Linked DNA regions of Drosophila melanogaster. Changing the gene in region 1 together with any one later gene gives a genetic interaction. Each region holds a gene or a part of one and is shown in the gene's direction. Other genes may lie near its edges.

The links. A genetic interaction does not mean that the proteins touch.
Region 2: of ninaA (region 1) and PAPLA1, changing one enhances a phenotype caused by changing the other (phenotypic enhancement), as found in Drosophila melanogaster (one study listed by BioGRID).

The regions. Positions count from the first base shown.
Region 1 is NT_033779.5:875,330-878,776, forward strand, and holds ninaA (neither inactivation nor afterpotential A), read left to right. Parts: upstream 1-1,972; 5' UTR 1,973-2,032; coding exon 2,033-2,542; exon of another isoform or gene 2,543-2,640; coding exon 2,641-2,844; 3' UTR 2,845-2,941; downstream 2,942-3,447. Other genes in the region: PNUTS (phosphatase 1 nuclear targeting subunit), read left to right, coding at 1-1,408; CG15824 (uncharacterized protein), read right to left, coding at 2,952-3,005, 3,063-3,444.
Region 2 is NT_033779.5:8,156,553-8,161,189, reverse strand, and holds the start of PAPLA1 (phosphatidic acid phospholipase A1), read left to right. Parts: upstream 1-1,614; 5' UTR 1,615-1,757; coding exon 1,758-1,971; intron 1,972-2,403; exon of another isoform or gene 2,404-2,478; coding exon of another isoform or gene 2,479-2,946; intron 2,947-3,010; coding exon of another isoform or gene 3,011-3,173; intron 3,174-3,241; coding exon of another isoform or gene 3,242-3,653; intron 3,654-3,933; coding exon of another isoform or gene 3,934-4,128; intron 4,129-4,439; exon of another isoform or gene 4,440-4,637. Other genes in the region: Rbsn-5 (Rabenosyn-5), read right to left, coding at 1-373, 432-1,098; CG43394 (uncharacterized protein), read right to left, coding at 2,479-2,946, 3,011-3,173, 3,242-3,653, 3,934-4,128.

The DNA.
Region 1 (3,447 bases):
GGTGCAGAAGGCGAAGGCTGCGGCAGGCGGAGAAGGCGGAGAAGCGGGTAACACCTCTGACAACGCTGAAGATCTTCCCGAGGAGCCCAAGAAGCCTGGACCTGGCTGTGGACCCGATGGACCACCGGGAGTGCTCACGCTGCACCGCCGCAAGGGCCCGAAAAAGAAGCTAACCTGGCAGTCAGAGGAAAAGCTCACCCAGATACGATACTTCGAGGTCGATCGCTCAGAGCGCGTAAATGTGATGAAGCAGACCTTCCTGGAAATGAAGAACATGGAGCGATTCAGCGAGCGGGACGCGCTGACCATTGCTCGGCGTGGATTCGACGATACCATGGAGCCGCAAATGGAGTGGCGGCCACTACTCGAAGTCGATAATGTGCCCGACCACCCGAACGGAAACCTCTCCAAGCAGCGCCAGGTGCAGATGGACAGGGAGGCCACCACTCTAAGAGCCCTGTACTTCTCGCCCGACATGATTCCCGACAGTCCTGCGGAGGCGGAACTGGAACCGCATTTTGCTCATGACATTCCCGTGATACCCATGGATGACCTGACGGGGAATCCGGATGCTGTCAACGACTACAGTGCCTTGGCGTGGCCGGAGCCCAAGAAATACGCGCCTAGCTCGGGAGTCGGAGCAAATATCAGCGGATCGGACATGGGCTTCAATGACAATATGTTGACCGGACTGGGAGCTGGACCGAACCTAATGCAAAATCCATTCGATCCGTTCATGGGAGGCATGCCTGCTCCCACGGGAATGCCACCCGGACCAAACATGATGCCAAATCAAGTGCCCAACGGAACGCCGCAAATCTGGCAGAACCAAATGGGTCCGGTAGGTGGGCCGCCCGGTGTACCGCCCATGATGAACGGACCCGGTGGCCCCGGAATGGATATGAGCAATATGAACATGAACAACATGCCACCGCAAAACTTTATGGGCAATCAGTTTGGAAGTCCAGTGTCTCCATTCGGAAGCGGCCCACCACCTGGATTCAATCAGTACCCGCCCATGATGATGAATGGACCAGGTCCGGGACCGGTAATGGGACCCAATGGTCCAGTGATGGGACCCAACGGCCCCATGATGAACGGCCCACCCAATGGACCCATGATGAACGGGCCGCCCAATGGAATGGGGCCAGGACTGATGATGGGCGGACCTAGGAATAACAACAACAACAACAACAGGAACAAAAACAACGGCGGCGGCATCTGGCGCAGCGGGGGCAACAACTTCCAGGAGAACTCCGGCGGCAACTGGCGCTCAGCAGGATCTGGCCCCAATCGAGGAGGTGGAGGAGGCAATGGCAACACCGGCGTCTGCAAGCAGTTCATGCGAGGACACTGCAACATGGGCAAGAACTGCAAGTATGTGCATCCGCAGAAGAAGCGCTTGTAGGACCTACCCGAATCTTCTGCGGAAGATTCAGCTGCATAGATCTCAGACGCGCAACGGAGGCCAAGATTTCCGAAATCGAGTCCCCACATGAAGACTGTATCCAGGTTAGCCGCCGCAAGTTAATCTAAGTGTATATATGTATTCGGTATATTTTTGTGTAGACGCAGTCTATCCCTAAGTTTTTAGCCTAAGATCTGGGTTCAATTCCCTGCCCCGCTAACTTTATTATTATGCTGATTACCATAAGGTTAAATATTTATAAGTTTAAATTTACACAATTAAATATCAAGTCATATGATGCAAAGCCAATGCAGTTGATTTATTTAGTGAAACGAATTGAATGCACTTTTAGAAACGATACTTTTGAAGTTTTAGTTATTAACATAGTTGAGCCAAACATTACGTTTGCCATTAAACCGAACAAGATGTTTGCTGCCGGGTGCTGAAATCGATGTCTGCAGAGGGTATGCCATCATCATGCGGTGCTTGCACTTAACCTGAAACTTTTGTGGCTTCCGTTTCCAGGCCCGCGACCCAGAATTGACTTTCTACTCGTATAGTTTCCACAGTCCAGTCTTCGTTTCAGTTACGTGTATTTCATCAGCGCGTTAGGTCCGTAAAATCATGAAGTCATTGCTCAATCGGATAATCCTGTGCAGCGCCTTTCTGGCCGTGGCCAGTGGTCTGAGCTTCACGGTCACGTCTCGGATCTACATGGATGTGAAGCACAACAAGAAGCCGGTGGGCAGGATCACGTTTGGACTGTTCGGGAAGCTGGCTCCCAAGACGGTGGCCAACTTCCGGCACATTTGCTTGCGCGGCATCAACGGGACCAGCTACGTGGGCTCGCGATTCCATCGCGTGGTGGACCGCTTTCTCGTCCAAGGCGGCGACATTGTGAACGGCGACGGAACTGGCTCCATTAGCATCTATGGGGACTACTTTCCGGACGAGGATAAGGCTCTGGCGGTGGAGCACAACAGACCCGGTTACTTGGGCATGGCCAATCGGGGCCCGGACACCAATGGCTGCCAGTTTTATGTGACCACCGTGGGCGCCAAGTGGCTGGACGGAAAGCACACCGTTTTCGGCAAGGTGCTGGAGGGAATGGACACCATCTATGCCATTGAGGATGTGAGTATTCAAGCAAACCGGAACCACAATCGTGGCTTAAACGCATAGCCACCACACAGAAATGTAAGAAACTTTTTCTGACACATTTTTCGTTCCAGGTAAAAACCGATACGGATGACTTCCCCGTGGAACCCGTGGTGATCTCCAACTGCGGCGAGATACCCACGGAGCAGTTCGAGTTCTACCCGGACGACTTCAACATCCTCGGATGGATCAAGGCGGCTGGTCTGCCCGTGACCAGCTCCTTCTGCGTTCTGCTCATTTTCCACTACTTCTTCCGCCAGCTCAACATGTACTGCTGAGGACTTTGGAGTATAAGCTTTATTACTGCACATAAGACTAAGAAGCCCCCATACACTCCGAATGGAATGAAACCCACAATAAATGCATACAAATCTTAAGGACTTCACTAGGATACGAGCACGGCCTTCAGTAGGATGGGAAGAGTCGGTCCCATGTGCAACTGTGGGATACGTGTTAGCATTTAAGGATTAGCTCAGCTTATGTCAGTGTAACTTACATCGATGAAGAGGTAGTCCTCCACGTGCTGATCCTTCTTGTAGAACCGCGACTCCGGCTTAAAGAGCCCAACCATGGTCACGTCCACTCCGGAATAGTTGGACAAGCAGCCTGAGAAGATCTTGGCCAGCGTGAAGTGGTGCTTGTGGTCTGGATAAACGGAACGGTTCAGGCTGTTGTAGTATTCCTCGATTAGGCGTCGGTCCTTGGGCGCCAGATCCCGCTGGTGCTGGACCATAGTGTCCAGGTCAAAGGAGTGGGCGTGCTTCACCTTGGGATCCTGCTCCGCGTCCATCAGTCGCTCCATCATATTCCTGTACTTTTTCTTAAAATACTCCAGTGCCGTGCACTTCTCAGCCCAGAAGGAGAACTTTTTGTCGGAGCTT
Region 2 (4,637 bases), 7.3 Mb from region 1:
AATGCCTCCTCCCGGCTGCCTGGTTCACAAAATATGGCTAGAATGCGCTTGCTCCTCATGTCCATGGCCTCTGCCACTTGTCCAATCTTGCCGCGCAAAGCACCTGCATCCGCCAACGTGAAGATTGTGTCCCCTTCGTTCAAGCTATTGATGATCTTTAGATACATGTCCAGATCCGGGGTAACTTCTTTTTGTAGTTGACGAATTTGTTCGTAGACCTGGACGAGGAGTGGGCGACAAGTGCGACTTTCGTGCATATCCTTTCGGGTGTCCAGCAGCCAAAGGCAGTGTTCGCACAGCCGGATGGCGTTCTCATGCTGATGCAGCTGCTGAAGGGGCTCGCTTCTTGTGGTGGAAAGACTGGCTAGTTGCACTGCGGGATTATAATCAAATAAGTTACATTATTTTCCTCAATTATTGGATCTACAAACTGGCATCTTCCAGGGGCAGGAACTTGGAGCAATCATTGCACATTATGCCTCCGCACAAACGGCAGTGGTGTTGTCTTCGGGCGATGTGGAAACTCTTGGCACAACTGGGACACAACTTGACGGAACTACCATCCAGCCAGGCAACTGTTTGCTGTTCATGCTGACGCCGCTGCACTGAATCCGCTGGCAGATCCTTAAGCAGGCGGTGCAAACGAATGATTAGTTTGTTTGTTTCGCTGGCATATCGCTCCAGGCGAGGATTGCGAATGGACTGAAAGTACTCGAAGTGGGAGCACTCAGCACCAGGCTGCTGCCTGGCCATATAGTTAAATACATTTAGACGGGAGCGGGCATTACTGGGTCCATTGCGATCTCCGTTGCCATTGGGATTCTTGCCAGCCGCTGAAGAGGAGGAACCTGCGGGCGACGATACAGATGCACCTTTTTCATCCTCAAAGGGGTTTAGGATCTTCTTTTTCGCCTTGGTAAAGATATCTTTAAAGGATTTTAGGGCATCCTCCTCTTCCGCATGCTGGCGGGCAAAATGATCCGTGAGCACATCGATGGACTTGAGATCCGCACGGCAAATGGGACATAGGAAGCCCTCTAGTATCTCTCCACTGGCCGAGCTTTGATCTTCGTCGCTGTCGAAAGGATTTCCAGACATTCCGGCGATGAGTAATCGTAGTTAATTCGGTGGGTGTTATTTGTTGTGGTCTCCTCCCCAAAAAAAATTGACCCTAAGGTTTTCCACTTGTTTTAAAACAGTGGCATGACGGGGCTTACGGCACTTGTAGTCCTAAACTCGATTAATACGGTCAGAGTTTCTACAAATCCATTAATTTTATTTAAAAACTAATATTTGCAGAAATCATCAAGATTTATCTACTTCACTCTTCTTCTTCCCAAATTGCAATTCGAAATAATATCCGAGAATTAGGGCTGCAGCAAAAGCAATATTTGGCTATTTTTGCTGTTTATTTGGATTTTTGAAAATTTGTTTATGGTAGTCACGGAGATTTCATACTCTTTCCCAGTTAAAACTAGCTAGGAATATATATGTTATAAGCATATTTTGATTACCAGCTTTTGCCTATCCATTTCTGGATCCGCTGCAGCCCTGGTAAAAGCTTTCCATGGCGAATGGCCAATGCGCGGAAAGAAGCAGAATATTGCCTGCCTGGAAGTTTTCTCGGGTTTAACGCTTTTAATCCGTCGTGGGTGTCAATATCCTGTGTATAAAAATAATTCCTAAGGCAACTGTGCACTTGGCACACATCTTCATATCGAGTTAGCCCAATTTAAAGCTCCAGATCGGCCGCTAATATGTCGGAAAGATCGAAAGGTGACGTGTCCGCTCGCGTAAACAACAACGCAAACCAGACGCGTGTCGTTAAAAATCCGCTTCTGAGCGCCTCCGTGACCGGCCTGAGTTTCGACGACTTCCCCAACAAGCCGCAGCTCCTGCCAGCCGCCCCGCCCGTGGTCCATGCCACGCCTCCAGCGGCGCCCGTCCTCATCGCTGGCATCTTGAATCGCGGTAAGTGGGTCACCGTACGTTCGTGAATCTAACGCGGAGTGGGGGTCACCTGTTGCTCGGCTGCTATAATGATAAGCTGATAAGCCTGGCAAGGCACTTGACCTTCTTACCCTCTTCATAAACTGGGGTTGACTTTATCACGGATCAAGTTAATATAAACTACTTTCAGTGTATAGAGGAATGGGTCAGGTCAGCACTTATTTTGGCTTAAACAAATATGTATACCTACTACTAGCTGAACAAATATATAGATATATTATAATAGTTTTCCTAAATAAGACATTAGTTAAGTCCATTTAATCGTTTGAAATCACCGACATTGTTTATACTACTTTTTTTAAGTTGCACTTCGTTTCAGTAGTTTATGCAGGGACAAACAATTGTATCCTAAATATTTGCATACATTTAGTAAAACGGTGCCATATTGTATATCTGGTACTTCTATGGCATTTTATTAGACTTCGAGACCACATAGGTTCTAACTTGGCACAATAACATAACAACAATCTACTCCATGCTCCTAGTGGAGTGGGATCTATATGTGGGCAGCTCCAGCGTTGTCTTCCTCCGTCTGCAACACCACACAATGCTCCATATGAGGGCTGCAATAAGCAGGATCAGGAGAATGACTCCAAGGCAAATGGCTGCAATGGCGGCCTCGTTCAAATACACATCTCTGACATCGATGGTGAGGCTTCTCTGGTTCCCGGCCGCATCGAAAGCGATGAGTGATACCTTTGGTTCGCAGCAAGAGGCCATGTAGGTTGCCTTCAGGGGCTCTGTGCTACCAGCAGTATAATAGTTTCTGTAGAAAAGACCCTCTGGCGGCGAGGCCTGCAAACGCATCATGCCTGACTGCCAGTCCTGAGCGGTCACATCCACAGTCCAAAAACGTTCACCACAATTCTGGGATTCGGGCGTCAGGTAATCACAGCGGCTGCCAAACTCCCAGGATAGTGTAGGTCCAGTTGAGTCCTGGAAATTATATTTAAACATTTCAATTATGCTTTCATAATCAGGTTATCGGCTGTTCACATACCTGAGCATCTATGCTAGTCACCACTTTAAGATTTACCGCCAGAGTAGATGTTTCGCGACCGTAATTGGTGAAGGTAATCCGGTCTGTGGTGCCCTGAGCTGTGCCAGTGGGCACCAGAACAGTCAGACGCACTGTAGCCGTCTCCTGGGCGCGCAGGCTTAATCTACAAAGGCAGAAGTACGTAAGATATATAATGTGTAAACCAAAGACTTCGCTCTTAAGCGCTCCAACCTGGTAGGATTCAGTTGAACCAAGAAGCGCCGCTCGTCGGTGACTTGAATGGTGGAGTAAACCGTTTCCGTTTTCATGTTGGTGACCTCAAAGAGTAGCGTAGCTGTTTGACCAGCCATCACCAGCAGTTTCGATTCAATGCCCAACTCAATTTTTGTGCCACATCGCTGGAGAAGCATGGCATTTAGGGTGCTTCTCGACTGCCCAGTGCTGGGAGCTAAAAGCGTTTGATTCAGATTAGGAGAACTTTGGATTTCCTGCTCCGAAAAGGTTTCGATTTCGTTCTTCGGGGAGTCCACATCTTCCTCTAGCTTTTCCGTGTCCTTTTCCTTGTCGGGAAACTGAAGTTTGGCTGATTTGGCCTTTGTTTGTCCGGTTTTGTAGTAGCTGTCGATGCGTTTGATGATGTCGCCTGTGAGGGAAATAGAAAACAATTTCTAAATCAATTGCGCACACGTGTTTTTCTTGCCCTATGGAAATGTATCGATGATGGCGTCAACGCTGACGATTCCATCCAAGGTTGAAGCGCGGTTATCAGTAGAGATTCGTATTCATTGGGGCAAACGAAACAGATCACGGGCCCTTATCAGTCCGAAACCCAGTCTCAGAGCATTTAATTAGCTAACGGGGACTCAGTACTGTGTGGCAATCAATACCGCCAGGTTGTTTGTTATTTTGTTACTATAACTCACCCAGAAACACATCCGCTTTTCTTTCGGCGCGAACAAACACATTGTACTTGTCGTGCAGCTCGGGCTGTAACTTCAGTTTGAAAATCGACGCGCGTCGCAGCTTGTTTAGCGGTACGTAGGCATCAAGTTCTTGGTTATTTAACGTTTCCGTGACATTAACTCCGCCGAATTTCGCTAGTTTCTTCAAATTGATCTCTAAAAATTAGAAAAGCACAAAAATAAACAAAAGTCTAACAGCTGTTGACCATTCACAACGCAACGCGGACAGCTGTTACAGGTGTTTGCGCGGCGTTGCCAGACCATAGCATTGCGTACCACTTTTAATTAAAACATCATAGTTGTGCAATAAACATTCAATCTGTAAGCCATCAAACTTGTTTTTTATAGCCAAAATAATTATAATTAATGGACAAACATTAAATAAAGACATTTTGCGGTAATCTTTAGCCATTTGCGGGACCTTGGCAACCCTAACCCCGCAGCTGCGCCGTAGTTGTTGTGAAAGAAAAACACGTCTACAAAAATCCGCGAAAAAAACAATTGTTTTTCCTTGTAAAATTAGCAAATAACCTACGATTTTTGGCCGCTAAAGTGGTGACAAAGACGGATATTAATTGCCAGTCTAGATCAGTGCTGACGACATAGCCAGCCAGTGCAATACATCACCAAAAACTGGTCGCATTCTAAATTTGCCCTTGACAGTG